Notamacropus eugenii: one gene and its partners. The protein of the gene in region 2 purifies or fractionates together with the protein of the main gene of each other region. This does not show direct contact. Links are inferred from orthologs where the notes say so. Each region holds a gene or a part of one and is shown on either strand. Other genes may lie near its edges. The genes, in order: RPRD1B, POLR2C, CTDP1 and GPN1.

Region 1 (7,571 bases), about 46 Mb from region 2:
TTGATATCAATCAATAATGAATTAAAAAATAACAAGATAGCCAATTCTCCTTAAATAAAGGTTTATATATTTCATATCCTTATGTTCAAAAACCCAGAATCCAAATAACAAGAAAACAATTTGGACACTGCAGAACAGCACCATGGCAAAGTGGAACGGGTTGCATTTGGAATAAGATCTGGGTTCAAATTTCAATTCTGTCATGTACTGCCTTTGCAATCTTGGACAAGTCATTCAACCTCTCTGGACCTCCTTTGCAAAATCAGGGTGTTATGAGCAAGTGAACACTGAGTTCCCTTCAAGTTCTAACCCATGAATTGAAACTTTTCCAGCACTTGAAATTATGAGTTACGTAAGAAGACTATGGATAAGAAATTAAAGAGTTTAACTGCTAACAATGACAATAACTTTCATAATCCTTCTAGCCAAGCTATTACGATGTGTTTAGGATGAAACTCTCTTCCCTTCCTCAGGAAACATTCTGTGCCCCTAGCAAGGAGTCATCTGTATAAAGAGAAGTCTTGTCAGAGGAAAATATAGACCTTGGGAATTACTGGAACAGCAGGCGATTTTTTAAAAGCCCCAGATATACAGACAGCACACTACAAAGCTCTTATCCATTGTGACATTAAAAATTAAAGCTCTCTTCAAAAGGCAAAGGTTGATCATTTAAGACCATTCTCTTCCTCTCTCTTCCACCCTTTAACCCCACTCTCCCAATCAGTTCATTTGATTGTTGGACACAGACAAAAACTTACTGACTTTCTTTTGAGGTCCTGAGAACAACCTTTAAGTTACCCACTTTATAGGCAATACCATATTTCCTTTTTAAAGAAATTGTTTCTTCAAAAGCAGTTTAGGCAAACTACAGTATAGAGATGACTTCATAAGCCAAAAAAAAAAAAATGAGGTTGAAAGAGAAAAATAGGAGTGTGCACTAGGTAAACAGAAATATTTCTGGCAATGAAAATGCACTAATTTTGGCCAAGGTAATTTTAAGTACTTCAGAGGTATTTTACAAGGAAACAAATTTGAAGACCTCTGAAACATACACTTCTAGCTAATAAAAGGTGGAGAAGAACACGGAGAAGCAGCATCAAAAGCTATCACAGAACTCCTACTGATGGTTCAAATTTTGGGGAAGGCACAGTAACTTATACATAGCAGTAGCTATAAAATTTTTGCTGATGTGAACTAGCTCAACTCTAACCAAAAAGTCTGAGGCACCAAAGACTTAACTTTAGCTACTTCCAGTAGTACCTCAAGGAGAACATATGCCCGTAGGCTCCTTCCTCAACCCAGCAAAAAGATCCTGGATATTCAAAGAGTAGAGAAAGAAAAACAGGGCAGATAGATCAGAATGAGATTCCTCCCTCCCAAAGGAGGCATTTGAGCTTCTTCAGCAACCTTGCAGTGGTAACTCGGTGACCTGCCCAAAGGAAAAACTTGCAGAAAGAGGAGGACTTGAAAGAAAAAAGGACATGGAAGCAGTCGTGGGGAGGAGTGCCTGGGTGAAGTGTTGGGGACTCAGGTGGGGAGGGCTGTGTGGAGTGGTGAATGACCGAGGCGGTTGTGGAGGTGGGCTGGATGCTAAATAGTCATCAGGAGTGTGCACGGAGAGTGGGGAGCTAGTCTGGAAGGTTGGGATGGAAAAACAGAGGTAGCGGTGGCCTGGAGAGAGATGGGTAGGGACCTGGTGGTTTGGGGGCTGGTCAGGAGGGATGCACGGAGAGCCGGGAGCTATTCAGACGAGGGGAGGGTAAAGTGGGGGAACATGGAGAGCTAGGGGCCTGACACAAACACACAGAGAGGGATGCATGGAGGACTGGGGAGCTGGACAGACAGAAAAGGAAGGGCCTTTAGGGTTACAGTACTCGGCACAGAAAAGGTGTTCGATCCATCATCTGTCCAGACAGAAGCAGAGCGGGGAGGGGGGCTGAGGACGGAGGTAGGAGAGGTCTGCGAGCTCCTCCAGCATGAGGGCTCCCTTTTACCTTTCTGGGACTCCTGAGCGCTAGGGCAGGGGCAGGCACAGACCTGTGGCTTACATGTTGGGCTGACAAGTCGGGGAGGGGCGGACAGAAGCACATGGCGGAATGGGGAACTGGACAGAGAGAAGGGGGGTGCGCTGAAAGGTTACCCCTACCCCTTAACGCAGTGCCTGAGCCATAGGAGGTTTGAAATGCCTGCTCCCAGCTCCTACGGAGATGGGGGAGGCGGGGGTCAGGGAAGATGAGATTGGAGGATGGGAGAACCGCACGGACAGACGTGTTTGGGGGTAAGCACTGCGCCTGACACAATCGGCGCTTAATACACGGGTTCGGATCGCGGCGGGGGTGGCAGGGGGCGGGACAGAAGCACACGGGGTGCTGCGGGGCTCGATACACAGCCCGGGAGGCGGGGGCCGGGGAGCCCCGGCGGGATACGCACCTTTGCGGAGCTCGCGGTGCCACACTGAGACGATGGGCCCCGCGTGTTTGCGGTGGTGGATCAGCCACAGAGACAACGTCTGGACGCTCTGCTGGGAGTTACTCAGCTCGGAGAGTTTCTTTTCGAGCGCGGACTCGGAGAAAGAGGACATGGTGGCGGGAGGGAAGGAGGACTGGAGGGCTTCCGGGCGGCGTGGAGCGGGAGGCGGCAGCCGATGGACACGAGGCCCGGGACGATACCTAGTCCGAGACCGAGCAGCAGACTGACTTGTCACGCCAGGCCAAGAGCCTGAGGGGCCGAGGCCTGAGGGGCGGCCGAGTCTCCTCGGTAACAGCCGCCTCCGCCGCCGCCACAAGATGGCCACCTGACCTCTCACCCCACCGCGAGGGAGGGCAAAGGGCAAGGGCCGACGCGGAAGCAAGAGGGAAGCAGGGCGGGGGCGGGCGGACGACCGCTGAGCTTTACCTTCGGTAGACTCTCATATACCCTCCCAGAAGGCAGCCCAAAAGAGAAGATAGAGAAGGAGGTAGCAGGGGGAAGTTTAGGCCGGGCCCCCTGCGGAGTTCCCGGAAGGGGCGGGTACCGCTTTCTCGGCGCGCGAACTCACTGAGTCTAACTTGGTCCTTTTTTCCCGGCGTCCCGGGACCTTTCTCGTGCTTCGGCGCGCCGGCGTAAACGTCACTTCCGGGAAGGAGCGCGAGTGGTGGGAAAGGCTAGAAGAGAAGCAGGTAAGGGAAAGTGTGCGGAGCGGAGGAAGGAGTTTTCTCTCCGAAAGGAGAAGGAGGGCCCGATGAAGTGGAGAAAAAGAGGCTAGAAGGCCCGGAAGGGGAGGCCTAGGATAGAGATGTTTATTCTTCTGCCCGGCCCTATGCTCTGGGAATCCCGAGACCTGGATCCCAGCCCCCAACTCTTGCATGTGTAGGGAGCCGGCGCTCGTCTTAGCCTCGCTCAGCTGGGGTAAAGGGGGTGCGAATGTGAGCGGTTCCCTAATCTCCGCCTAGCCTGAAGGAAGGTAGTAATCCTTTGTTCGGAACCTTTCTTTGGGGTATTTCTCTCCTTAGAGTGTTTTACAAACGACCGCTTGTCTTCCGGGCCTACTTCTCTGTTTAAGTAGCTGAGGATGGGACTCGGAAGCAGTAAACATTTATTAAGCTCCGATACCAAAGGAGGCGAAAGACAGAAAGCTGCCTGCCCTTGAGGATTTTACTTCTAAGAAGAGCCACAACTTAGAAGTGAAATATATAAGATGGGAAACAGTAATACTTGCACTGCGCTTCTATAAGGAAAGTAAATCTTAGTCATAAGAGTTTTGCAAGTAGGTTTGCAAAGCGCTTTGCAAGTATCTTATTTGGTCCTCACCAGCCCCCTGGGAGGTAGGTGCTACTATTATCATCCCCATTTTCAGAGGCTGAGGTTAAGTGACCTGCCCAGGGTCACACAGTTAGTGAGTGTCTGAGGCTGGATTTGAACTCAGGTCATTCCTACTCCAGGCCCAGAACTCTAACCGCTGCGGCCCTGAGCGGCACCACATGCCATAATTAAAATGTATTATCCTCATTCCCATACCTTCTCTGCCACCTCAAATCTTCCAGTAATATCCCTTTCACTGTCGTCATAACTGACAATTATATAGCAATTCATAGTTTACAAAACACTTTACTCACAGCAGCTTTATTTTTTTTGTTTGTTTGATCCTCCAAACATCCCAGTTAGGAAGGTTGTGCAGGTATTATTTTTCCCCAATTTACAGATAGGGAAGCTGAGGCTCAGAAAAGGAAAACAACTTAACCCTGAGTCACACAGCTGAAAAGATAAAGAGCCCAGGTGTTTGTTATACTCTAAACACAGCCTTCTTTTCCAGGTAGCACACTTGTTTGCATCCTACCCTGCCCCACTCAGCATTAACCACTTGCACCTTCCCCCTCCTCTATCAGACAGATTGGTCTCCCTACCTAGAGCAGAGTCATTCCCATTTCTGTACCTTTGTTCATATGCTAGTGCTCCCACGGCAACACTATAGGTCTAGAGAGTTTTGTTTTTGTTGAGAGTGCTATACACTCTCAAAAGAATACTGGATTAAGAGGCAGAGGATTGTGGTTTTGAATCTTTGCCACTTTATATATTTGGTTTATTTGTTTAGTACTTTTTCAGTTGAGTTTTACTGTTCAGTGAGCTTACTTGGGGTTTTCTTGGTAAAGATCCTGGAGTGGTTTGTCATTTCCTTCTCCATCTCATTTTACAGATGAGGAAACAGGCAAACCAGGTTCAGTGACTTGCCCATGATCACACAACTAGTGAGTGTCTAAGGCTGGATTTGAACTTAGGAAGAGGAGTCTATCCATTCTATCCACTGTGCCATCTATCTACTCTGCCACTTATATTAACCATTTCATTTAATCTCTTTAGTTGTCTTTTTTTCTCATTCATAAAATTAAGAAATCTTGTGATTGCTGAATATCTGAGTTCTCTCTTTTCTAACTTTGGGGTCCATCTCAAATCTTACCTTTTCCATGAATCTTTTTCCTGTGGCTCTGACTTAGGGCAATATGAGTCTTCTAGCTCCATCACCCCACCAGAGCACTTTAATTTAGTTTTCAGATCAAACTTATCTAATCTATTTCTCAAATCTATTTCTCCTTTTAAATATATGACACTGTTTTGTTATATAGATGAAAGAGCTGTCATTTGTGCACTTAGGGGATGCTCACCAAATTAGTATTATTTTTGGCGCCAAAGACTTTCGTGAGCCATTTCAGTTCACCAAACATATATCACTGATTACATTTTACATGGCTTTGTTTCTTGTACATAGTTTGGGCCATGAATATGTCAGTGCTTAATTTAAGTCTGTTCAGAGATGATCAATGATGATCTTCATGGCCAAATCTAGTGTCCTTTTCTCAGTTCCCATCCTTCTTAATCTCTCTGCAACTTTAACATTATTGATCCTTCACTTCTCTTGAATACTTTCTCCTCTCTAGGTTTTCCCTCCTGTTCTTCTTACCTACCTTACCTCTTTTTCAACCTGCATCATTGATTGTTCATAGAGGTCATACCATCTAATTCTTAGTGTTTTCCAATACTGTTCTGGAGCCTCTTCTCCCAGTACATCTCACTTGGTGATCTCATAAGCTTTTCTCTATGTAGATGATTCTTAAATGCAGATCGTCTTCTGAACTCATCTTGCATCACTAACCCCCTCTTCAATATCTTGAGCTGGATGTTCTGTAGACATCCCAGATTCATTATGTCTACCTCCTCAAACCCTAACCTCCTTCCTCCCAGTGACCTAGGCTCACAGCCTCTGTGTCATCCTCAAGTCCTTTTTCACCTTTCTTCCACAGACCCAATCTATTGCCAAGTCTTATTATTTCTACCTTCACAGCGTCTCTCTTTTATGCCCTCTTTCCTCCATTCCCACGGCTAATACCCTGGAGAAGGCTGCCATCACCTGTTGCAATAGCCCTCTGGTTGGTCTTCCTGCCTCAAATCTCTCCCCACTCCAGTCTGTCCTCCGCTCATCTACCAAAATGGTCATCCTAAAGGGCAGTCCTGACCGTGTCACCTCTTTCCTCTAAATTCTAGTGGCTCCCTCTTATTTCCAAGATCAAATATAACATCCTCTTTTTGACTTTTAAAGCCCTTCACAATTTGACTCCTTCCTGCCTTTCCAGTCTTCTTACTCTTTACTCTCCTCCAGTACTCTATAATACTAGACACTAGTCTTATTGCTGTTCCATTCCCAGGACACACCATCTTCAGACTTTCTGCCTTTTCATTGTCTGGCTCCATCCCTAGAATGCTTTCCCCTCACCACCTCAATTTCTTCAAGACTCAGCTCAAATCCTTCTTTAAGACCTAACTCTCCCTTCTTTTGGCCTATTCTGCCTCCCAGGTTCCCATTTTCTCTCCCCCCTCCACATTACTAGTACCTTCCCTTTGGGATTACCTCCCATTTAAACAGTTTTTCCCCTTTTCTTCGTATCCCCAGTTCTTAGCACATAGGGAGCACTTAATAAATGCTGGTTGATTGAAATTAACAAGCATTCACTCAGTGCCTATTACCTACAAGGTAAAGGGATAAAAAGACACAAACGAAAGAGCAATTGACCTCAAGGATTGGGGAATGGAATTATAATGTATACAGGTGTAAATATAAGGTGATTTGAGGAAAGAGCAAGAAAAAAATACAAGTATGCCGGCATCAGAGAAGGCCTCAAGTAGGTAGTGATACCAAAATAAATTTAAAACTGAAGCAGAAATGGGAAGATGGCATATTCAAGGGTGGATACTTTATGCCAACATATTAAGGCAGGACTGGGAATGTCAAATTCCGTTTGGCTAGGTGTGAAGGAGGGTACTATGAATAAGACTACAAGAGTACGTTGGAGTCCAGGGCCAATGAATTTGTGCTTTATCCTAAGAGCAGGATAGCTAGATATGATTTAGCTGTACTTCATAAGATTGTAGTGATAGCTGTGTAAAAGATGAATTGAAGAGGGAGGAGACTGGGGGAGGGAGGGATGCCAATTGCCATAATAGTCTAGGCCGCATGTAATGAAGACCTAAACTAGGGTAGAGGTCAGGTATTGGAGAAAAAAGAGAATGGAGTGGAGGCAAGAGATATTATGAAGATCATATCCAATAAGACTTTGAATCTAAATGGATATAGAAGGTGAGAGAGGATAACTCCAAAGTTTGTAACTAGATGGAAATGCCCTTAGTAGAAATTCGAAAGTTTAGAGGAGAGAGAAGTTTGGTGGGCAAACATAATGAGTTCAGTTTTGGACATGATGCATTTAAAATGGGACATTAAGTTAGAGATATCCAGTTAGCTATGGAATATTGAAATTCAGAAGAAAGATTAGGATTGGCTATATAGATTTGGGGGCTATCTACAGAAAGATAACTGAACCCATAGTAGCCAATAAGATCACTAAGGGAGAAAGTCTATAGAGAGAATAGAATTGGGCCCAGGACAGAGTCTTGAAGCAGTGTCCCTGCTTAGGGGGAGAGATGGATGAAGGATACTGAAAAGTAGTCAGGATGGGAGGAAAAAGTGGAAAAAGCAGCATCCTGGGAGCCAAGAGAGTGTTCAGAAGGAGTGGATATTCAGCAGGGTCAGAAACTACAGAGAGAGA
Region 2 (7,792 bases):
TATTTATATTAGCATAAATTGTCAATAATGTTTTCCCCTACATCTTCATCCTTCACTTAGTCCCCTGCCTATTCCTTTATTATTAGATACAGATGTCTTCCCATATATCTAACCAACTCCACAAAGACAAACTTATTGCTTCCTAAAGGATAAACAGAGCAAGATGTTATGACTGTTCACTTTTTCACAGCAATTTGGAATTAAAGAACATGAGATGGTTGAGGGGAAATGGGGAGAGTGGAATGAAAAAATTTGAGAATTACTATGATATAAAACTGGACAAATGAATACAATCTAACAGCTTGAAAGGATGTTATCAAGGAAAATACTCTCCAGTAATCAAACTGAATATAATCTTACCCTGGAGTTTTGCAGCTTGTCTACAATGTCATCACTTGTAAGAGGGATTAATCCTAGAAAACACAAAGCAGTGTTTCAAGTAGGTCAAAAACCTTTCAGAAGTCAGGTGGTTTCTTCTGATAGCTTTCTAAGACACAAAATGGCAGCCCTTCTCCCCTATTCCTCCTGAACTTAACACTTACCTAGTCTGTGGGCAATGAACTCATCATGTAGCACCGAAGAGTTAGCATCGATTTGGACCCAGTCTATGGCTTAAAGGCCAAAAAAGAAAAAAAAAAGAGGCAGGAATGCCATTGAGTCACAGAGCTCACATAGAAGAGGCAGGGAATCAAGCAGGCTTTTGTGCTGGCCCTTCAGAGAGGAAGACCAAAGGCTCCTCATTATATCCCAATATGGGCCATATTGTCATTTGCAAGTCGGGCAGCACTGAAATGAACTGGAGGCTGCCTTTGTTTCAAAGCTCTCTAGAAACTGTCCCTATACTATGCACAGAGCACCATCCAGCCTTATTGAAACCTCTCCTATGTACTCCCTTTACTCTATCTAGAGTGGTCTCCTCGTTATGACCTTCATAATCCATGCTTATATGTCTTCATTTTATTTTGTTCATATTATAAGACCCAGCTCAATTACGACCTCCTGAAAACTAAGACCTATAATGACCTCTTTTATCCAAACCATATTTCATTTAATGCTTGCATTATACATTTTGGCACTTTTTAAGTCAGTCTGTCAAGAAACATGTATTAAGTGCCTATTATATGCCAGACATTGTGCTAAACACTATGAGCTTAACTGTTAAATAAATATGTATATTAACTGTTAAAAGTTTAAGGAAGAGGCTATCATTGTGGACTACAGTGACTAGGGAATACTTAATGGAGAGATTCAGGCTGATTTAGACCTTGAAAGAACAAGATTTGGTTGGCACGGAAGAGAGGTGAAAACTGTAGATCATCCCATTGCAGAGTCACAGATCACTAAAGCTGGGAAGGAACCTGAAAAATCATCTGGTTGAACGCCATTTCATTTTTTTTCATTCTCCACTTAATACTATGTAAATTAATGTTTCTAATTCAAAGTAGGACAGAAAAAGAGGACATGTGAATTTCTAATATGTACAGCCTGCTTTTCTCCTTTTTTCCTGGTTATTCTCCTTGCTTGGGTTTCCTTTTGTTCTTTTCTGTGTATTTCAAAACAGTGTTTCAAAGACAACCTTTTTCTTTCTTTTTGGTAACTGTACTGCCATCCCTCTTTCTCCTTCTTTCACCTTCTTCTTCCAAAGTGGAAAAAACCCCAAATAAACCCTTTTAACAAATAGTGAAATAAAACATCTCTATACGGTTGCTACACACACACACACACACACACACACACACACACACACACACACACACACACACACACACACACACACACACACACACACCCCCCCCCTAGTCTTTCTCCAACTAGTTTGTACTTGAGATACTGGCTGTGTTTTACACTTTCGGGGGGATGAGAAGGTATACCACAGTGCCTAGTCAGAGCCCAACGTTCAATGAATTGTTTCAATGCGTCTGATTAGGCATAGCGTAGACAAAGGAATAAAAACAGTCTGAGAGACTCTGAGCTTGATAAAGCTTTTTTTGATACCTCCAGTCACTACAGAACGCCTCCCACCGAAATCTCTCCCCCTTGCTGTTTTGACAGCTCCCAACTGTATTGCAATCTGGACTGGTTATTTGTATAGTATCCTCATCTCCCTCTTCCAAGGCTTGCCCTGGTAACTTCAAAAGCTCCTAATAACAGTTAACTGACAGCTGGACGGCGACTTTAGGGTTACCGGGCACCCACCGCACGTACGCTATCTGACTTCACCCACCATAAGCAGCCGGCGTCACGCTGTGAGATGAATCCTCCAACAGACCCCGCCCTCCAGGAGCCTGAGACCGAAAAGGGGGTGGAGACAACCAAGGGGGGGCTGCTGTTTTACTCAAGAGTGTGAGGAAAAGGCTGTAAGGACTCTGAGGAGGGCAGAAGAACCCGATATCACGGCGCAGGTAGCATCGAAACGGGACCCCGGTGGGAGCAGGGGGCAGCTGGGAGGAGGAGGGCCAGGGACAGGTCAGTCTGTGAATAAGAGGAGCCGCCCGCGCCCCGGCTTCCACACCGCCTCCAAGTCCCCTCCCTGCGCCTCCGTTTAGCCAGCTGCAAAGCGGGAGAAGGGCGAAGGCGGCGCCCACCCAGGGCTGCCAGGGGGCACGGCAGCCAGGCTTACCTATGATGGGCACCTCGGCGATGAAGACCCTGCGGATGGAATTGGCCACCCTGCGGGGAGGAGGGACCAGAGGCGAATCAGAGGGGGCCCCAGCCCGCTCCTCCCCGGTCCCCGCCCCCCCGGGGCGTCCCCGCCCCGGCCCCTTCCCCAGAGCGCTCTCCCGGGACTCTCCGGGCGCCCCGGGCGGCGAGCTCCTTACGCCAGGTCCGTGTTCTCGATGATGAACTTGACGTTCTCGTCCGTGAGCTCGGTGATCCGCACCGTGGGCTGGTTGGCGTAAGGCATCGCGACCGAGAACGGCCCGCGGCCTCCACGCTCGGCCCTCGGCTCTGCGTGCACCCGACCACCCGCGCGCCGCCGTGACGTCACCGGACGCCGGAGAGAGGCGCCGCCCCTCCCTTCCCTCGCTCCCCCTGGAGCCCACAGTGCCCCCTCGGCCTAGGAGGAGGAACTACAGAAGGCGCAGACGGGATGGAAGTGGGAGGAGAACTCAACCCCGCCACGGAGGTCTTCGATCGAGCAAGGGATTTTACGCGCGCAGTCCGACTGCCTCCTTTCATAGACAGGGAAACTGAGTCACAGAGAGGGGAAGTGCGCAAGGTCACACAGCTGGTAAGGAGCAGTCAGAACTGGGACGCGAATGGCCTTGACGCCGCGCTGCTTCGCTTTCAGATGGCTGGTGACCTCATCACTTCTCACACATCCCAGTTACCGCTCCCGGGCCCAGACATCCAGCCGGAGCCCCCCTGCTGAGCAGCTGGCCCGTGGCGTGGGAAGACTGGAAGGGACCGCTGAAGTCCCTGAGTTCAATCAGTTAATCAGCATGAAGTCAGACATTTCAAAATCGATATCCTATATCGATTATACACGTATACACACATGTGCATACACAGATACATACGTGCACATTTATATGTATATGTCTATACATACACACATATGTATATGTGTGTATGTGTCTGTAATATGTATTTTATATATATAATGTAGGCTTCTCAAACTCAACAGGTCCAAAATAGAACTTTTAATCCTTTTTCCCTCCCAAAATCCACTCTCTTCCAAACTTCCCTAGTACCACTACCACCACCATCACCACCACTACTACTACCTCACCTTCGATCGCTGAATGGGTGTTGCCTCAGACAAACCTGGGAAAACCCACTGCTTCTGGGGCCATCCCCTGGAGTCCTGACCTATGCCTTGTCCCCGCACTCCCAATGACTGGAGGAGAGAGTGGGGCTGATGACTTTGCACAGCTCTGCCTCACTTGAATCAAGTCAAGACATCATCCTCTTGGAGAATGATGAACGACAATAACAATCCTAAACCATAAATATGACAAAATCCCTTTCCTGCTTAATAAACTTCAGTGACCCCTATTACATCTAGGATCAAAATACAAACTCAGAGCACTTCTATACTTTGAGATCTTGGGGGCAGGTGGGATCAGGAATCCTACTTGCTTAGGTTCCAGCTGTTATTGTCTAAAGCCTTTTACAACCAGGCTTTAACCTACCTTTATAGGCTTATTATATATTACTCTTCTTCATGCTTGCATTCAATGATCCAGTTAGGCTGCCCTTGGACTTCATATTTAACATTCCCACTTCTTTCCTTTTGCCTTTTTACAAGATGTCCTCTAGGCCTGGAACTCACCACCTCTACCTCTTAGATCTCTTGCTTCCCTCAAAGGGTACTAACCCTGAAGATCACACAGGTTCTAAGCGGCAGTCAGGATTTGAACCCATCTTTTAACCTGCAAATCCAACACTTTCCACGGCATCGTGAAGCTCCCTCATATACATGTCTCCCCTAATAGATTATAAGCTCCTTTCATTTCACCTTTACATCTCTATTGCTGAGCACTGAGCCTGGCACAAATCAGTCAAATAGCATTTAAGTACTTTTTAGGTGCCAGGCATTATACTAAATGTAGTAAAACAAAGAAGGGCAGAAAACAATCCCTGCTCTCAGAGTTCACAGTGTAATTGGGGGGAGGGGGTATGTGTGTGAAGGATAGCATAAGATAGAATGCAATCACTTGTATATGTATTGGGGTTTGCTTTGGCAAGAAGGACCACTTTATGTGAAACAGGTGAAGGAGAAGATAGTGGCAGAAGGTATTTGAATGATGTGAAATAAGGAAGACAAGAAAGGATTGTTCGTTGTGAATGGTCTCAATTTTTTCAGTGACATGTGAAGCAAAATTCTCAAATGAGAGGACGAGGGAAGGATAAAAATGCTTGGAAAAGCCAGGATTGTATGGGATGATGCAGGATTTATTGGGAGTGTTCTCAGAGAGAAGGCATTAAGAAGGACTGATAAGGGCAAGAGAGAGACTAAGGCTGGATATTTAGAACTGGGAGTGATCTGTCATAGGGATAACTAGAAGCTTTGATTAGTGATGAGGTGACCAGTTATACATGGCAAGACCATTGGGGTTTAAATTCTGCCTGCTACTTACTAGCTGTGTGACTTTGGACACTTCCCTTCTCTGAGACTCAGTTTGCAAGAGCAAAAGGTGAGATTTAATGCTCAATTTATTAACAGAAAGGGGACCACACAGTTACCATTTGCACTGCTGTGTTGTGGTGTTTGGGAGGACATCATTCTTTAAAAACAAACCTTTTCTCTTTAACTTAGAATCTTTTATTTTTTTTGCCTGCCTTGTGGGTTCTATTATGTACTGCTGGTTTTAATGTATCTTTTCATTTTATTATGGTTAATAATCCCACATTAGGATTTTAAAATCTTGCCTTTTTATATCATTTGTTTCTTTCCCATGTTTTTTTCTTTTTTCTTGCAGCTTTTGTGTTGATATTATCCTTTAGAAGGAAAGATTTCCCCTCCCATTAGAAACAAAACACCCTCTGTCCCATACTCTTTATCAAAACAATACAGAAATGACTTGATCTTGCTTTTGTATTATAAGTGCGCTGCAAGACATTTGTAGTAATTATAAATTTTACTACTCTGAAATATGACTTTTTATTTCTAGTCATTTATTGAGCCCCAAACCATTGTGATCTAAAGTTTTCTTATTATATATGTAAATCCAGAATCAACTGACTTTGTGCAACAGAATTAAACTTTTGACTTATTTAAAAAAAAAAAAAAGGTGAGATTTTGGTGAGGCTTCAAGGAAGCCAAGGAAGCTAGGAGGTGAGGTTTGTGGAAGGGTGAAAATGTTTGGAAAAGCCACTGTATTGAGTGGGATAGTGAATGGGTGGTGTTAAAGGATTGCCTTGCTGCTATAAGGGCCCAGTTGAAATTATGTAACGTTAACCTGTAGTGGACCCAGTCAGAATCCTTTCATGATTTTCTCCAGCCTTGTTCAGCAGCTTATGAATAGGAGCACAGGCAGTGGATGGTGGGAATGATTCAAGGATGAGACTTGGTAGGGTAAATGGATGAGAGGATAAAGGTGCAAGGGATCTGAGAGGGCAGCATAGGGTTGAACTGGTTTGTCAAGAGCAAGGGAGTATAGCAGGTGCGGGGGTCATGAGTTGGGAAAGAACTAAAGGATAGAGGAATTGGAGGTCACCGTGAAGACAAAGGAAATTGGGTTTGGAGTTGCAAGGCAGAGATAGGATGACAACAAATTATGATCAGATAAAGGAATTTTATTTGGAGTTCTTGAACATGGATATGGAACACTTGTGATGGCAAGACCAAGGTACGGACCATCTCCATACGTAGCTGGGAGCAGAGGACATAGGTGCTTAATAAATGCTTTTTGATTTAATACTTACCTGGTAGAATTCCCTCTATATGCCCCTTAAGTTGTTGTCCAGCCTCTTCTGTAAAATCATTGGTGATGAAGGACTTAGAATCTTTCATGGCAGTCTGTTCAAATCCTAAACAGCTCTCATTCTCATTTGTCCTTATACTCAGCTAAAAATCTGTCTCTTTTAAGTTTCATTCACAGTTTCCTCCTAGTTCTCTCTAGGATTCACTTGCAGAGATCCTTGACCAGCTGGTGCTACAGCACAATTCAAATGCCACCTCATCTTTGAAGCTTTCCCTGATTCTTCCAGTCTTAGCAATCTTTTTTGGGGGCACTAATTGGCACTTTTAATGAACTCAGTCTTCAATATTTTGTGTTAAAATTATGTATATGAATCTTACTGTCCTGATGGGCTGTGACCTGTATGTGGGAAGGGACCATACCTTATAACCAAACTGGTTATCCTTTTCAGAGTGCTCTGCACATAGGTGATTAATAAATATTGGAATTAGGAACTATGAAGACGCTAGGGCCACACTGGAAGCTGCAGTACCAACCATTTACTTGATCCTCTAGTATTGGCCAGTCCCTTAAGGCCATTGGGGGCTCTAAAATGTCCCATAGGCACACAGAACTCTTTTCCCATAATAAATTCCTTTTTGACAAACCTAAATTTTATTTTTTTTAACCAACAAATATTTCTTATTGTTTATGGTATGTGTAAGGCTCAGGGGTGGGCCTAGGCCCATATTGTGGAGATATATAAAGAAACATACAACATAAGTCTTAATATGCTTTTAAACTTTAGGGATGGGGAAGATGCTGCTGTCAATAACAAAGAGTCCAGAAGAGCATCCGAAGTTTAGCACTCAAAAGGACCTTAGGGATCATCATCTAGTCGAACTCCTTCATTTTCCAGATGTTAAAACTGAGGCCAAATGAGGTTATTTGCCCATAAATACACAGGTAGTAACATAAGACGTGGGACTGGAACCCAAGTCTTTTTGATTCCAAATTCAACACAATACACCATGCCACGCTGAGAGGCCGAAAGAAAAGGGAGAATTTGGTTTTATACACAGATTCATTGAGCTTTTAGTGTTGAAAGGGACCTCAGAGATCATCTATTCCAACCCCCTCATTTTATAGACAAAACAGGCCCAGAGTAGAGAAGTAACTTGTCTAAAGTCACAGTTTGATTTTGAAGTGTCTTAAGGCACAAAGGTACAGTTGTCCAGCTGGCAGTTAAAAATACAAATCTGGAGTTAACAATTTGGGAGTCTCACAACTAATAGTTGGAACTGTGGGAATAGCTGAGTTTGCTGACAGAGTACAAAGACAAAAAAGAACCTTGGTGAATGTTGACATGTAGAAGATAGGAAGAAGAGATAATGGAAAAGGAGAAAGATTAAGTTAGTAGGGAAAGGAGAACCAGGAGAGTGAAT
Region 3 (7,109 bases), on a different chromosome or scaffold from region 2:
CCTGAAAAAGACCTCCCTTTCACCTCTTTGCCTATTTAGCCCAACTAAAATGTAAAAACTTTGGATCTTCACATTGATTTGCCATTCTTGTAATAGCAAATACTCACTGTATATTATATTTATTTGTGCATATTCTATCCTCCATTATTCTGAACTCCACAAAGGTTGGAAATGTCTTATCTAATATTCATATCTTGAATTGAAAGAATAAAAATATACCAAAAAAACTGACATTCCTGTTAAATGGCAGAAAAAAGAAGTGTCAACACAGACAGCGTGGTGTAATGTAAAAAGCACTGTTATCTGATGTTGAAACCTCTTCTCTTACATGTCCTTAGTTGTATGATCTTGGGCAAGTCACTTAACTTTCTTGGGTCAAAAGTTTCCTCATCTGTAAAAAGAAGGGACTAGACTTTGAGCTCCCTTCCAGGTCTAGATCTATGATGCCCTATTATTACACACATATAAGGAACAATAACAACAAACACTATGTAAGCAACCTTTAAGCTAAACCTAAGTTATCTTGGGTTGTAATTTCTTTAGTGTAGGGAACTGAAAGTGAAAGAAATCTCTCTACCAAAACAAATCAGCTACAGATCTGTAATTTGTAGAATTAGAGGGCTGTCTAGCATATTGAGGTTAATTGGCTAGGGCGGAAGGAGGAGAACAAAATGACCACACAGCCAGCAAATGTCAGAGCTGGAATTTGAACACAGTTCTGATTGACACTCAAGATAGCTTTCTACCCACCACACCATGCTTCCTCTAAGATCTTGTAAAAAGGTTAATTAATGATATTTTGACCAATTGCAAATAAGTGTACTATATAAAAAACTGACCACTCCTCCCACCACAAAATAAATAACATAATATACTTTAAACCCGGGGAATGAAATTAATTACAGGCCAATTTTCCTTAGAGCCACTGAACAGCAAAAAATAACCACAGTTCAAGAAATTGATGAAAGTAATCTACAATATGTTAGAAAAAAAAGTAGACATTTCTGCAGTGGAGTCTACCAGTTAAGTGAAATGACTATTTTTTTCACCTTTAATTATCTTATGATGACCCAATGACTCATTTTGGTCAAGTATATGATCACAGAGTTTGAAACAAACTAAGTACTGAGACAGGGTAGAAGTTTGGCTAGATTCAAAAGCTTGCTGTAATTTTGTACTCTAGAGAGCTCAGTCTCATACGTTCTTCTTAGCTATGATGCACAATTATATCATATTTTTATCACTTAGTTTCACAAGATTAGAGCGCAGGAAAAAAAAAAGAGACAGACAACACCAAATACCAGATCAATCTGAACAAGTTAGTATATTCAAACAATACCCAGCTATAGTTCAGATGTAGACATGTATACATATGTGTATATATTTAAACAGATGTATACATTATATACGTGTTTACTTCAGCATCATCATTTCCTGTTTTAATCTTAAAGTCAAACAAAATTTTAAAAAAGCAAGTGGAATAAATGTTTGGTTTTCTTAGAGACTGACTCCAACTCCCCCCAAATTTTTTGCACTGCAAAAATAACAACAACCACAGCTTTCTGGCTACATAAGAAAAAAAGACTTGTTAAAGAAGAAAATAAAATCAGATTTGGTTTAAAAAAAACCTTTTGTTTGTCCAGCTAGTAAGCAGCGATTTAAAGGAGAGGAGTCCAAAGTTGCAGAAAGTAGGATGGGAGTAGACCAAATAATCCATATTTCAAGGTGAAAGAGCTTTTCATTCCCTAAAGAAATGTCAATTGATAACTTAAGGCATCTCTGTCAGAGGTGTGCCTCAGAGACCTCACCGCCAAAAAGAACCCTGTAGCTATTCCTGAGAGGAGAAGCCTTATTTTAATCACATTATTTTCCCCTTTAAGCCCCCCTGTAGGGCAGCGGGTGGGGCGGGGAAAGAGCGAGGAAGAGAGAAGCTGAGATGCAGGAGAGCGCTGGGAACTCGCACCTGCCTCCTCCTCCTCGCACGCTCTCGGGTCGGTAAGGGGGTATACTATAATGCTCCAGGCGCCGAGCCCCCTCCCCCCGCCAGGTATCTGGGGTCGGGGGAGGGGGGGAAGGCAGGAGGAGGAGCAGAAGGACAGGGGCGAGCAGGACGGTCCCAGGACAGTCTACTTAGAGGCGACGGAAGTTCTCGGTTTTGAATAGTTTCTCCGCCTCCGCCCTCCAGGAAAAAAGAACGAAAACCCTTGGGCTGGGGCACAAGCCAGCTCCCTCCGTCTTCTTCCTCCTCCTCGGCAGGTCGGCCCGGTGCCCAGCGATGCCTGAGGCTTACGGGTGGGGAGGGGAGAGTCCCTGAGCCGGCCCCTATGGGGGGGAGGGAGGGGTGAAAAGGTCGGGGGAGGGGGAAACCGAGGGAGCGGAGTAACCCCCGCGGCCGCTTACCCCGGGGGGACCACCTGTCCCCGCTGCGCACACAGCTCCAGCACCACTCCGGCCCGCTCCGACTTCACCCTGCGCTCCGCCGCCCGCTGGGTCCGGCCGCAGCCGCCGGCCTCCGGGCAAGGCGAGGGCTCCCCGCGCTGGTTCCCGCACGGGTGGGGGCTGCCCTCGCCGCCGCCGCCCCCTTTCCCCTCTCCTTCCCCGGCTCTCCGGCGCGCACTGCAAGCCGGCAGCCCGCCCGCCTCGCCGCCGGCGGGAGGCACGATGGGGAGACACACAGCCAGCACCGTGCCGATCTGCACCGCTGTGCCGGCCGCCACCTTCCACTCCAGCAGCCTCAGCGGCCTGGGGCCCGGGCAGCGGATCTCCGTCACGGCCGCCGCCAGCGCCGCGGGGCCCTCGGCAGAGCGGGCCGGGGCTGGCCCCTTGGCGGTGGGGGCAGCTGCAGAGTCTCCGACGCCGCCGCTGGGGTCCGCCCGCGCCTCCATCCCCCTCCGGGCCGTGCGTCCGCCGGGCCCTCTCCCCTGCTCCAGCGCCGCCGCCTCTAGTGCCCGGGGGCCGGGGGCAGCACGGCGCGCGGGGCGGGTCGCTATGGCAACGCGCTTGCCGCCGGCTCGAGACCGGGAAGCGAACGGAGGAAGGCTAGCCCTCCCCCAAAGGGGGAGAGGAAAACAGCGACTTCAAGGGGAGGGAGGCGGAGTGGAAGGAGAGGTTAGAAAGGTGTGAGGAAAAAAGTAGTAACTGTTCCTTTAGGAGGGGGTTGGGGGGGAGGGAGGATGGAACACGGAGAGGAAAGGCAAAGTCGTACGCGTTTGCGTATTCAGGGCCCGGCTTCCATTTAAAGCCACAGTAACGCGGAAATCCCAGCGTCCCGGATGTGGGGCAGGGGCGGAGGTGGTTATTTCAGCTCTTCCCGCCCTCTGCTCGGCTAGTCACCTCGCCGCCAGTTCCCCCGGTCTATGACGACTTCCTGGAGAACGTAATGATCTCATGGAGGGGAGAGGGCGTGGTCAAAGGGGCGGCTTCTCACGTGCTTCCCTCAGACCGCGTGTTTGTCTGTGGGCGGGCGGCCTGCGTGTAAACACACGTACGCTCACACGCACACGGGAGGGAGGGCCACGGAGTCCCGAGACCCTGGGGAGAGGGAGTCCGCGTGAGCAACTGGTACCGGAAACGTCCGAGAAATAACCCTCACCGGGCACAAAACAGCGGAAGCGGTTGTACCAAAACCCTCGTGGTTATCCGCTTCATGTCTGAGCGCATGAGGACTACGAATCCCAGCATGCAACTGTCCCCCAGTGGTGTCTGTGGAAGCCGGGCTGGCGGACTACAGATCCTTGTTGAGTCTCCTTCTCGCAGTTGCATGCTGGGCCTTGTAGTCTCGTGGGGGAACGGGACCTCCCTACAAAAGCGGAGCAAGGAGAGTCCTTTGCGCTTGCGTATTCAAATACACTGGAAAATTTGTGGAAAGCCCTCCCACGGAAAGACATTGTAAAAGCATATACGGTCCCTTGTTATTCTTGATCTCTTATCGAAAGCTGCCTGGGAGTTAAACCAGAAATGGACTTTAAAACTTCAGGTTTGCGTTGGGAGGAATATCATGTTGTATGTGCCATTTTACTTGTCCCCAACTTAGGACCTTGCTAGGGAACTTCACTCAACCCTGATTCTAATGGGGCTATTGCCTAGACACTTAAACCTCTCCTTCCTCGGCCAAAAAGGTTGTACCATAGTTTCAGGAATTATTTACACTCTTACCCCTTCTGTTTTAGACCATTGGCGACTCCTTCTGTTCGTGGATCCACCCTTATCACAAAATAATGGGAAGCAGCCTCCTACTGAGTTCAGAAGCACGGGGGAGGGCCTAAAGACAACCAAATGTCCAATTTCAGTTGGGGGAAATGAATTAAAACTGCTAGGAACCAGGGCGCTGTGCTGGGGGCTAAGGGCGAAAACGCAAAGGAAACAGTCTGCCTTCTGTATGCTCAATCAGCCTGAAAACTTAAAGTCCATCCTGGCCGCGTCCGGTCGGAGCAAAATGCCTGGGTGGAGTTTTTTGGCAAACCTTCTGTTTTAGGCATTCTCAGGCCCTCCAGATCCTTTACTAAGTCGCTGTAGTGTCGGTTAGATCACTGTTAGTGATTTCTCTCTTTGAGTTAAAATGAGAACACGAGTTAGAAAGCACTTTCTGCACTCAGTCTAGTTCAAATGGCTAACAGCTAGGTGTAAGAGGTAGCACCTTAGTGAGAATTCCTTTATCCCTTGGCCTGGGGGAGGGAAGAAGCCAGGACATCTAGAGGGAGGGGGTATTGCTTTAAAGAAAAGTGCTGCAGAACAAGCTTTCCCCTGTTACAGTGTTGCTGGCACATGGCCCCTGAAACATTGTCGCCAGCCAAAGGCTCCTTCCCTGCCCTTCCCTACGCGTCTGCTCTCTGCATCACGAAAGGCAGAGGTGTCAAACTCGCCGGCCACGTGTGCCCAGCAAAGCTCTCGAGTGTTGGCGCGAACCAGCTTAAAACGTAACAAGTCAATGTTTAACCAAACGAATCAAAATACAGCATAAGTAAGGTCAGTTTGTGGTTTTGTCAATCAACATGCGGCCCCGCGGGGACCCGTTTTATTGGATTCTGACACCACAGATGTAAGGCACAGTTTTAAAATGTTCTCCCTTTGCTGCCCCTGCCCTCACACCTCTCCCTTTAGCGGAGAAGCTAGAAAAGAAAGCCCCTACCGCCTGGCATTTAGGCATGCCAGTTTAGCGACTCCCCATTCTTGGGACACCCAAACAAAAGTGAGTTTTCAGTACCTCCAGAGGGCCCTCTTGCAAGGGGCTCTTCTCATCGCAGAATGCAGGAGACACCCTAGACTGCCAACTGCCAGCCACAACAGCCACCCCTGGGCTGCCTGGGGCTGTGGAACCTTCTAGGGTTCTTCTGGCCTTGATGTTCCAGTCCCACCTCTTGCTCTAAAAATGTCCCCCCTGCCGCACCTGACCCAGCCGAAACAACTGCTGGTCCTGGCCCCTAAGGAGCTTGAAGTCAAGGCGTGGGAGACAAATCCGAAACAAAAAGTTAAGGGGTGTGAGGTGGAACGGAGATGGAGAGCATGGGGTGTCTTCAAGCAAGTATTAAGGATACCTCAGAATTAGACACTGTTTCTCAACTGTGGACCAGACAGACTCATGAAATATTTTTACCTGGTAAACAAAATTTTTACAACCAAAGGTTTTTGCTCCGTGAAATTGATAAACTTTAAAAACCTATTTCTTTTACTTACTGTTTCCACCAGCTCTGGTTTTATCCTCCCCCTGCAGTTCTTAAACTGCAGTTAATGAACTTCATATGTGTATGTCTACACACACACATATACATACACACACATATACATGGATACACACATGTGTGCATTATGTAGGTTACATATATGCTTTTGTATGTATATAAACACACATGTATAGGTATATTAATAACTAAATTTCAATGTAATTGGCTTCCTTTATAATGCCATATATTTTATTTTAAAATATTCTGAAGAGTCCAAAGGTTTCAGAAGATTGCTAAAGGGTCTATGACACAAAAAGAGGCTAAGAACCCCTTTTCCTCCCCACTTCCAGTCAGTGAGAACCATCCACACTAAGTCACAAGTAAAGAATATTGATATTTTAGCATTCTACAAGAGAGCAGCATACCTTGGTTTGGGAAACAATGAAACAGCCTCTTCTCCAAAAATCTTCCGGAAAGTTAGTGATTGTCAGCTATAAGGCCCTAAAAGCCAAGAGGCCTTTGGTACTTTGTTCTTGGGAATCAACACCTTGCTCCAAGTGTCTGTGCGTAGTGAAGAAACATTCTTGCTGTCCTCACTACCATAAAAGCTTGTTGATTCAACCTTTATGACTGTGAACCATTATTTAGGAACTGGTGGGGAAATCAGGCCCATTGTTTTCACATCCTCAATAAAGTAGGGAAAGCCAGTATTACTGGTAGCTTTGTGAAGTGTCAGACTCGAAAAGGGCACTTAATTATCTTTATAACCTAGACTCTACCCCAAATTAAAATCTGCTCAAATTTATAGAAAATAAGCCATAAATTGAATCTTGATGATATCTTAATGCCTTCTTGGAGCCTGCCAAGTTTCATCAAATCTTAAATTACTTATAAGTGTATCCTTGAACAGGAAGACAAAAATAGAAAAGGCTAAGCAATAAGGTTAAAATGCAGGCAAATGTCCACCATTTTATAAATGAGGAAACTGAGCATCAGGAAATTTGTGACTTGTCCGAGGTGATATGGTTAGCAAAGGACAGAGGTAAGATTTGGGTTCTTCTGGCATGAAGAAACAGGGGCCAAGGAAGGTAATGTATTCACTATAAACTAGTGGGTGAATCAGAACATTCAATTAAGACATTTTTTAAACACCTACTATATGCCAGGCTCTGTCCTGGGTTCTGGAGAAATAGAGAGAAAAATGAAATAGTCCCTCAAGTAACTCACTTTCTACTGGAGGAAAACATCCACTTATGTAAGTAAATACAAATTAACATGCTGGGTAGACCCAGAAATATTGGTGGATGGCTGGATGGGATGTGCTGGAAGAACTAATTGTTAAATTTTCAGTGTTAGCATTTACCCTGTTAGATACCAGTAAACCTTAAAAACCAGCACTTGATATATTGTTTTGTTGATTGTCTAGAGGGGAGAGAGTGATGGAGAAAA
Region 4 (7,148 bases), about 54 Mb from region 2:
TTAAATTGAATTACGTTAAGTCGAAAATTTATTTTTTTGAAACTTCCACTCATTGCTCTGTGGTGGAAAGGCAGCATGACATAATGGAAAAAACCTTCCACTTGAAGTCAAAAAGACCTGGGTTTGAACCAGGTTCTGATACTTCCTAGCTGTAACTCTGGGAAGGAATTTCTTTAAGCTTTATCTGTAAAATACACACAATACTTTTAATATGAACACAGTACAAGGGGCTCAAAGGATCGTACAGTTAGAACTGGAAGGGGCTTTAAGGACCATCAAGTTCAATCCTCTCATTTTACAGATGAAGGAACTGGGTCACAGGGAAGTTATTAAGTGATCTGCCCTGGGTCAGACAACTATAAAGTTATCTGAGACAGGATCTGAATCCAGGATTTCATGATTCCAAGTCATTGCTTTATCCACTATACCCTGTTGTCTCTGTAAGGAAAGTTGTATGTAAACTTTAACACACCAAATAAATCTGAGTTGTTATGTTACTGACTTCTAAGGTCTGATATTTCTTCCACATAACATCGTTTTCCCCTTACATACTCTTCTCCAAGCTAAACCTCTCTACTTTCTTTAAATGACCCACATTTAGTAAAGTCTCCAAAGTCCCCAACTCAGCCAGTTTGCCCTTCTCCAGATACACTCCACTCTATCAATGATCTTCTCAAAAGGTGTTAACTCTGAGCAGCTTACAATACAGTATGAGCCATTTTAAGCAGAATTAATAGAATTTATTAATGAACCTTTCACTAAGCATTTATTATAGAAGTACTTGAAAAAATAACTTTAAGGCATGATCCAGCTTAAAAAGTTTTTCTGAATTAAAATGCATATAAATTTGTACAATTAAGTATATTTTCAAGTAATTATGATCCCATTTTCACTTGGGCCTTATTTCGTGAGGAGTACTCTTTTAAGAAACAGTAGATTCATTTTAGTAGTCTGCCTCTGAAAATAGCTTAAAAGACACTAAGACTCAATAGATGTCAAGGAATAAACTGGAAGGGGCTATGGAATGGAATGGAGAACACAGAACAAGACAATAGAACCTAAATTCCTTAAGGACAGAGAATATTCTGGTTCTGTATCCCAAGGGCGCAGGAATAAGAATAGAAAAAGGGATTGGAACTGTGATGTCATTGGTATAGAGAATTCTCAGATGAGGAAATGAGTTGTATAAATGAAGGGTGGCACCTTGGCAACTAATTAGAGTTGCCAGGAGCACTGAATTTAGATCTTCCTAGTCAAGGGAGGTCTCCATCTACTTACTCCACTTTGCTTCTCCCCTAGCAAATCATTTACTTAACAAATAAATTTTGGACACAGAGAATGAAATAACTTTTCAGTCCAAGTCTTCAACACTGTTGCAAACTAAAATTAGTATCTTGGCTTAATGATTGCCTTCCAATTTATAGCCATCTCATGACCAAAGACAACATAATTCAAGGTTACCCAAAAAGGTGAGAAATAGAATAAAACTATGGCTTGGGAATTAGGAAGCCCTAAAATACAAGAAGCCTAAGTGACACTAGGAGTCAATAACTTAGGGTCACAGATTTAAAGGAGAATTTCTTTTCCAATTTTTTCATTGTCTAGAAAAAGATGAAGTTCTTTAAATGGGAACAAGTGAACTGCGCAAAAATGGAAGGAGGTCCTATGGACAGGGGCAGATTCAGGATCACAGGCAGCCTTCATGATTGAACTCCTCAGGGATGTTAGAGTTGGCACTTAGGCTTTCCACGTAGACTGAATGTCACTTAGTTGTCAGATGTTGATCCATTGGTAGATTGTAAGACTGGATCAATCAATATGCATTAAGCATTTCCACTCATAAAATAAAGCAGTAATTGCCCTCAAGGTGCTATAAAGTACCCCAGGTTTCTTGGGACTCTAAGAACAGTCTGAGCCTCTTAGAACATCTCAGTGTCTACTGTTGAGTTAAATGTCTTCCTCAGTTCCAAATTTATCCCATACATAGCTTATTTATACATAGCTTTTTTTCAAGTCTGCCCTCTTAGACAGTGGGCTCCTCTTGAGTAGGAGCATTGATCGTTTTTTAAATGTCTTTTACCTTTTTTTCTTGTATCCCCAGCACTTGGCACGGTGCCTGTCACATAGACGGCACTTAAATGCTTACTGACTGACTGTTGCAAAGCGGACCTTTTGTCCCTTCAGTTTCCCAAATCTTAGTAAATGACGTCATAACATCCCCAGCTGAGCGAACAGGGCAGCCGGACAAGAGGAAGAGGGGGAGGCCGGGAGGGACCGCGCCAGGTTGGGACGCTGGGGCGGTGTAAGAGTGGTCGAAGAGCCCACAGGCCCGGCTCGACCCGCAACTTCTTAGGGCTCCTCCACACGTCGGGCCCACGCTCGCGCCGACTCACCGATGTTGGCTGGGAAGGGGACCTCGTGCACCGCAGGGTCCAGGTTGATCACGTAGGGCGGCGAGCCCAGGCCGTGAAGGTATCCCGTGAGCCTCTGCGGGAGACAAGGCGAAGGTGAAGGTGCTCCCGCCATCCCACCACCGCTACCCCGGGCAGCCGCGGCCAGGGCCCCTCCAGCAAGAGCCTCTCCCCACCTCACCTGTACGAATGTCGTCTTCCCAGACCCCGCCATCCCCAGCACCAGGAGACACACTGGAGGCCGAGGCCGGGGCTGGGGGCCCTCTGCCTCCGGAGCCGCCGCTCCCGCAGAAGAATCCATCTTGCCAGTGTGTACGGCAGCGCCTGCGCAGAGCGATGCTGGAAATGAGACTGAGTAGCAGTCCGACGGCAAGCGGGCAAAACGGAGCGGAATCAGAGTTTAGGTCGGATCTGGAGACAGGGCCAGGGACCCAGGAGGAGGAGGCAGGGTCAAGGGCGGAACCTGCCGTGGAAATTGAGAGTAGGGCGGAATCGAAGGCGGGGCCAAGGGCGGAACCTGCCGCGGAAATTGAGAGTAGGGCGGAATCGAAGGCGGGGCCAAGGGCGGGGCCAAAGGCAAGGCCTGCACTGAGATTTGAGAGTAGGGCTGAATCGAAGGCGGGGCCAAGGGCGGAACCTGCCGTGGAAATTGAGAATAGGGCGGAATCGAAGGCGGGGACAAGGGCGGGGCCAAAGGCAGGGCTTGCACTGAGATTTGAGAGTAGGGCGGAATCGAAGGCGGGTCCAAGGGCGGGGCCAAAGGCAGGGCCTGCACTGGGATTTGAGAGTAGGGCGGAATCGAAGGCGGGGCCAAGGGCGGGGCCAAAGGCAGGGCCTGCACTGGGATTTGAGAGTAGAGTAGAATCAGAGGCGGGGGCAGAAGAGGGGGCGGAGCCTGCACAGGGACCTGAGACTGGGGTGGAATATGAAGAAGAATCCAATCACCTGGGTTCCGTCGCTGGTCCCAGGACTGGTTTTGAAGACGTTCTGAGGCTCGAATGGATCAAGGATATTCCAGAGCGGGTGCAAAAAGAAAGCACAGGTGAAGAAGTGGTGAGGAGAGCGGGCGACAAAAATGGCGAAAAGTTGGGTTCGACTCAACTGGGGAAGGACTGGGAAGTGGACGAGAATTCTAAGTCCTCCAGAGAAGAAAGTGTTCGGGAAGAGAGCGACGACACCCTGAGCTCCGAGGCTCAGCCTGCCACAGGCAGGAAAGAAGTGGGCAAAGGCGACTACTGTGTCCTCTGTACGGTGCCCAAGACCCCAGACCAGGACAAGAGCTCTCGGTCCTCTGGCCCTGGGAAAACTCAGAAGTGGTCACCGGACGTCAATCTTCCTGTAGGGTTGTACGTCGACACTTGTTGGGTTCCCAGAAGCTTCCACAGGGAGGAACTCATGAGACTCAATCTTTCGCGTGGAGTTCCTTCCCTGGCCTCCACCCCCGCTACCCTTGTGCACCGTGTCCAGCAGTTTTGGGATCAGCAACATTTGAGTACTCGTAACAGGTGAGCTCAAAAAGGGTCGGAGGGAGCAAAGGAGGAAAACCTCTCCAAAGCAGAGACCCATGGGGGGAAAGGGTTAGCTTAGCAAGAGATGGCAAAGGATAAACAGCTAAAAAAAAAAAAAAAAAGATTCTCCCAACTTTTCTCCCAGTTCTTGTACTGCACTGGACAGAGCATCTACCTCAGGTAAGGAGTTGGAAGGAACCTCAGAGACTTTCTTGAGCAACCCACATGTGAGACAAAAACCCCCTCCACAACATGCCCCGAAATAGCCTTTGCTAGAGGACTTCCAGAGAAAGGGAATCTTCCAGTCAATCAACAAACATTTAGTAAGCACCTACCAGGCACTGTACTAGGATCTGGGGACAGAAATGCAAATAAGGTTTTAAAAACTCCTTTTGACTTTATATTTCCTTGTCAGCCTCAGAACATCCAGAGTTTTGCCATTACTGAATCTATTGTTACAAAACAGTGGCATGCTTTTGTACACCTCTTCTGTAATCTGCCCTACCTCCTTGGATTTTGTCTATACCCAGAGGTCAAAAGCTGTGATAGATCCTACCAAGCTGGAAAGAGTAGATTAGTTGGGAAATATTGTCACCCTAGGACCAGCCTAGCTAAGATCAAAAAAGCTTCATTACTTAGAGTTTGGCTACTGAATAATAAATTTTTTGACCACAGAAATTCATAAAGTGATTTATAAAGGCACATTAGGAGTTGCAGTCTGTCAATAAGAGGAGAACATACAATGAAATCATATGTCTTTTGAACATAACAGCTCACACTGTCCTTTGAATTTTTGAGAGTTGCTTAGGAGAGGTGAAAGAGTTGGTGGCTTGAGCCAATGAAGGATGACACACTGAGTGTCATGAAAGATAAGTGACATCAAGGTAATAATAATAGCTCACAAATAATCATAAAGGTATAATGGAGAAATAACATATTTCTGGCTGCTTTTCCCCCAGATTTTTTCGGGGTCCCAGAATGATATGGCAGAATCTGAATCTGAATCGTAATATTGCTTTGCTAATGGGTAGCAAAAAGCTACAGCAGTTTTTAAAGTCACAGGAGGAGTTGGAGAAAAGGGTGCAGAAAGAGCTGGCAATAAAGGCACAGGTAGAGGAGAAAATGATCCAGCTGAATGGGGAACTGATGCAAACACGAGCCCGGAGGAGGCAGCTCATAGATGATCATTGCCACATGCAAGCTGAAATCCAACCATTCTTAGGTGACAGCCCTGTCCTAATGGGATATGTACCTGATCCAACCAAGAAAAAACAGGTAGCACCAATTAAGGTATGGGATCAACAGACACAACAGTTGGAGCAGATACAATGTCAAAGGCAGGAGCTGGTCTCCAGTTATGAGTCCCATATATCATCACTCCGGGAAGAGCTGCTGCGACAAGAAGAGACCCAAGCCCAACTGAAAAAGAAGATTCAAGCATTAAATGCTAGGAGGACAATAAAGATTACCCAGGAGGAGCTTATCAAATCACTGCAAATGGAAAAACCAAGAGTCCAGAAGGAGGCCAAAGCACACCTTCATAGTGTACAAGGTGATCTGGTTAAAGAGTGGAGAGCACTGAAGCATCAGCTATCTGATGTAGAGCTTTTGCTGGGGAAAAGTATGATGGGAAAGCACAACCATATCCTGGAACATGCAGCAGACAAATCTATCCTTGATTTCACCTGGCAACTGCAAAATGAGAATGAACAATTGCATAAGGAAATGGTACGGCTTATTCAAGAAGCCCAGCAGCTAGAGGCCCAGCGGACCAGGCTTCGAAAGCAGAAGCAGCAACTACAGCTAGAGCAGTGTTGCCTGGAGAGCATCAAAGAAGGGAGACGGCGTCAACTACTAAGAGCTGTTCCCTGTCAGAAAGGACAAAGCAGTTCAAAGACCACGCTGGCCCCTCTCCCAGGTACCAAACCAAGGATGAATTCATCCTAATTAGTGAGAATATTTATTATACATCCACCTAAGCAGATTTTGTTAGTTGCTGTACAAAGTAACTTAAGTGATCTCTGCCTCTAGGATCTTGTAATTTTAAATGGAAAAAAAATGAAATGAATATGAAATAGAAGGCTATCAGTCAGACTGTAGAAAGAGGGATGAAACACAACAGTAGAAAAGTTCATATTTAAAAACCTATTTCTGGTAAAAAAAAATCTATGGAAAATGACTTAAGATAATAGCTTATTGAAAGTATTAAAAGGAGAGTTAAGTTCACTTAGCACTTCTTCTGTAGTGCTGTTTAACATTTAATTCCTGGAATTATCTATACCTCCCTCACTCACTTCATCCTCCGATGATAAAACAGAATCCATCTCAGTATCTTCCAGCATCTCAACATTTAACTGACTGGCTTCCCTGGCTGCTTACCAGATATTCTCTATAGTGGACCGGAAAAGGAGCAAGTCAAGCTATGAATGTTTGCTTTCTTTGGGACTCAATGTTAACTTTCTTCAAAGGATAAACTCTTTTTGATGGCAACCATTTACATTGACTCTACAGTGGTAACACAGACATTCCAAAATCTCAGATTAGCAAATACAGGTAGGTCCCTTTTTGTTGCCTTGGTCTTTGCACCCATTTGTTTGAACCATTGCAACATAAACAGGGAGGTACAGGCCCCAGTCCAACTGCTATTGACAAATCTGAGACTTAAGGGTAGGGGAAAGAGATGTTAAAGTTGTGTGCCAAAGACCTAGTAATTGCCTTTTTGCTTTTGGTTTGTCTTGGTGTTCCAATGAAGCATGAAGTACTCTTGTAAATATGTCAAGGGGGCCCTGTAGTAGTGAAGGACAAGAAAGTGAGCTAATAGAATTCCCTATTTCCTGGTAGCATTGTTTTGATTTGATACTAAGTAGCTTATGTTTACTTCTGAATTTTACTGAGAATGGTAGAAGGCAAAAAGATATGTTAAGGATTAGGTTTTTTTAACAGCTTTGCAGTGGAAGAAATAATCATCATTGTAACACCCTAGTCAATGGAATGATTCAGGATACCTATTCTACAGGCACATTTGAAAGAAAAAGAAGCTTATTTCAGTTCAGATTTCTCTGGAACAACTTTTGAAAGAGAAAATCACCATCCAAATCATCCTTAACTCTTCACCCTTATGAATTCCAAGGTTATTATAAGATAAATTCTAGCCCAATATATTGGTATAGAATTATATTTTCACATGTCATATATACATTTATGTGTACTGAGGTCCTCATCTAGATAT

Evidence for each region.
Region 1: the proteins of POLR2C (region 2) and RPRD1B purify together in Homo sapiens (affinity purification with mass spectrometry; 3 studies listed by BioGRID and IntAct, counting the BioPlex papers as one, with this or other methods). This does not show direct contact. The link is inferred for Notamacropus eugenii from reciprocal best matches to the Homo sapiens genes POLR2C and RPRD1B.
Region 3: the proteins of POLR2C (region 2) and CTDP1 purify together in Homo sapiens (affinity purification with mass spectrometry; 3 studies listed by BioGRID and IntAct, with this or other methods). This does not show direct contact. The link is inferred for Notamacropus eugenii from reciprocal best matches to the Homo sapiens genes POLR2C and CTDP1.
Region 4: the proteins of POLR2C (region 2) and GPN1 purify together in Homo sapiens (affinity purification with mass spectrometry; 3 studies listed by BioGRID and IntAct, with this or other methods). This does not show direct contact. The link is inferred for Notamacropus eugenii from reciprocal best matches to the Homo sapiens genes POLR2C and GPN1.

The regions. Positions count from the first base shown.
Region 1 is NC_092872.1:428,751,373-428,758,943, reverse strand, and holds the start of RPRD1B (regulation of nuclear pre-mRNA domain-containing protein 1B), read right to left. Parts: upstream 3,018-7,571; 5' UTR 2,582-3,017; coding exon 2,431-2,581; intron 2,279-2,430; exon of another isoform or gene 2,237-2,278; intron 1-2,236. UniProt on the Homo sapiens protein: Interacts with phosphorylated C-terminal heptapeptide repeat domain (CTD) of the largest RNA polymerase II subunit POLR2A, and participates in dephosphorylation of the CTD by RPAP2. Transcriptional regulator which enhances expression of CCND1.
Region 2 is NC_092872.1:475,144,128-475,151,919, reverse strand, and holds the start of POLR2C (DNA-directed RNA polymerase II subunit RPB3), read right to left. Parts: upstream 3,005-7,792; 5' UTR 2,906-3,004; coding exon 2,820-2,905; intron 2,671-2,819; coding exon 2,621-2,670; intron 612-2,620; coding exon 543-611; intron 414-542; coding exon 361-413; intron 1-360. UniProt on the Homo sapiens protein: Core component of RNA polymerase II (Pol II), a DNA-dependent RNA polymerase which synthesizes mRNA precursors and many functional non-coding RNAs using the four ribonucleoside triphosphates as substrates.
Region 3 is NC_092875.1:201,295,035-201,302,143, forward strand, and holds the start of CTDP1 (RNA polymerase II subunit A C-terminal domain phosphatase), read right to left. Parts: upstream 3,017-7,109; 5' UTR 2,886-3,016; coding exon 2,401-2,885; intron 1-2,400. UniProt on the Homo sapiens protein: Processively dephosphorylates 'Ser-2' and 'Ser-5' of the heptad repeats YSPTSPS in the C-terminal domain of the largest RNA polymerase II subunit. This promotes the activity of RNA polymerase II.
Region 4 is NC_092872.1:528,877,959-528,885,106, reverse strand, and holds the start of GPN1 (GPN-loop GTPase 1), read right to left. Parts: upstream 3,014-7,148; 5' UTR 2,713-3,013; coding exon 2,593-2,712; intron 2,488-2,592; coding exon 2,394-2,487; intron 1-2,393. Other genes in the region: CCDC121 (coiled-coil domain-containing protein 121), read left to right, coding at 4,005-4,099, 4,879-5,837. UniProt on the Homo sapiens protein: Small GTPase required for proper nuclear import of RNA polymerase II (RNAPII). May act at an RNAP assembly step prior to nuclear import.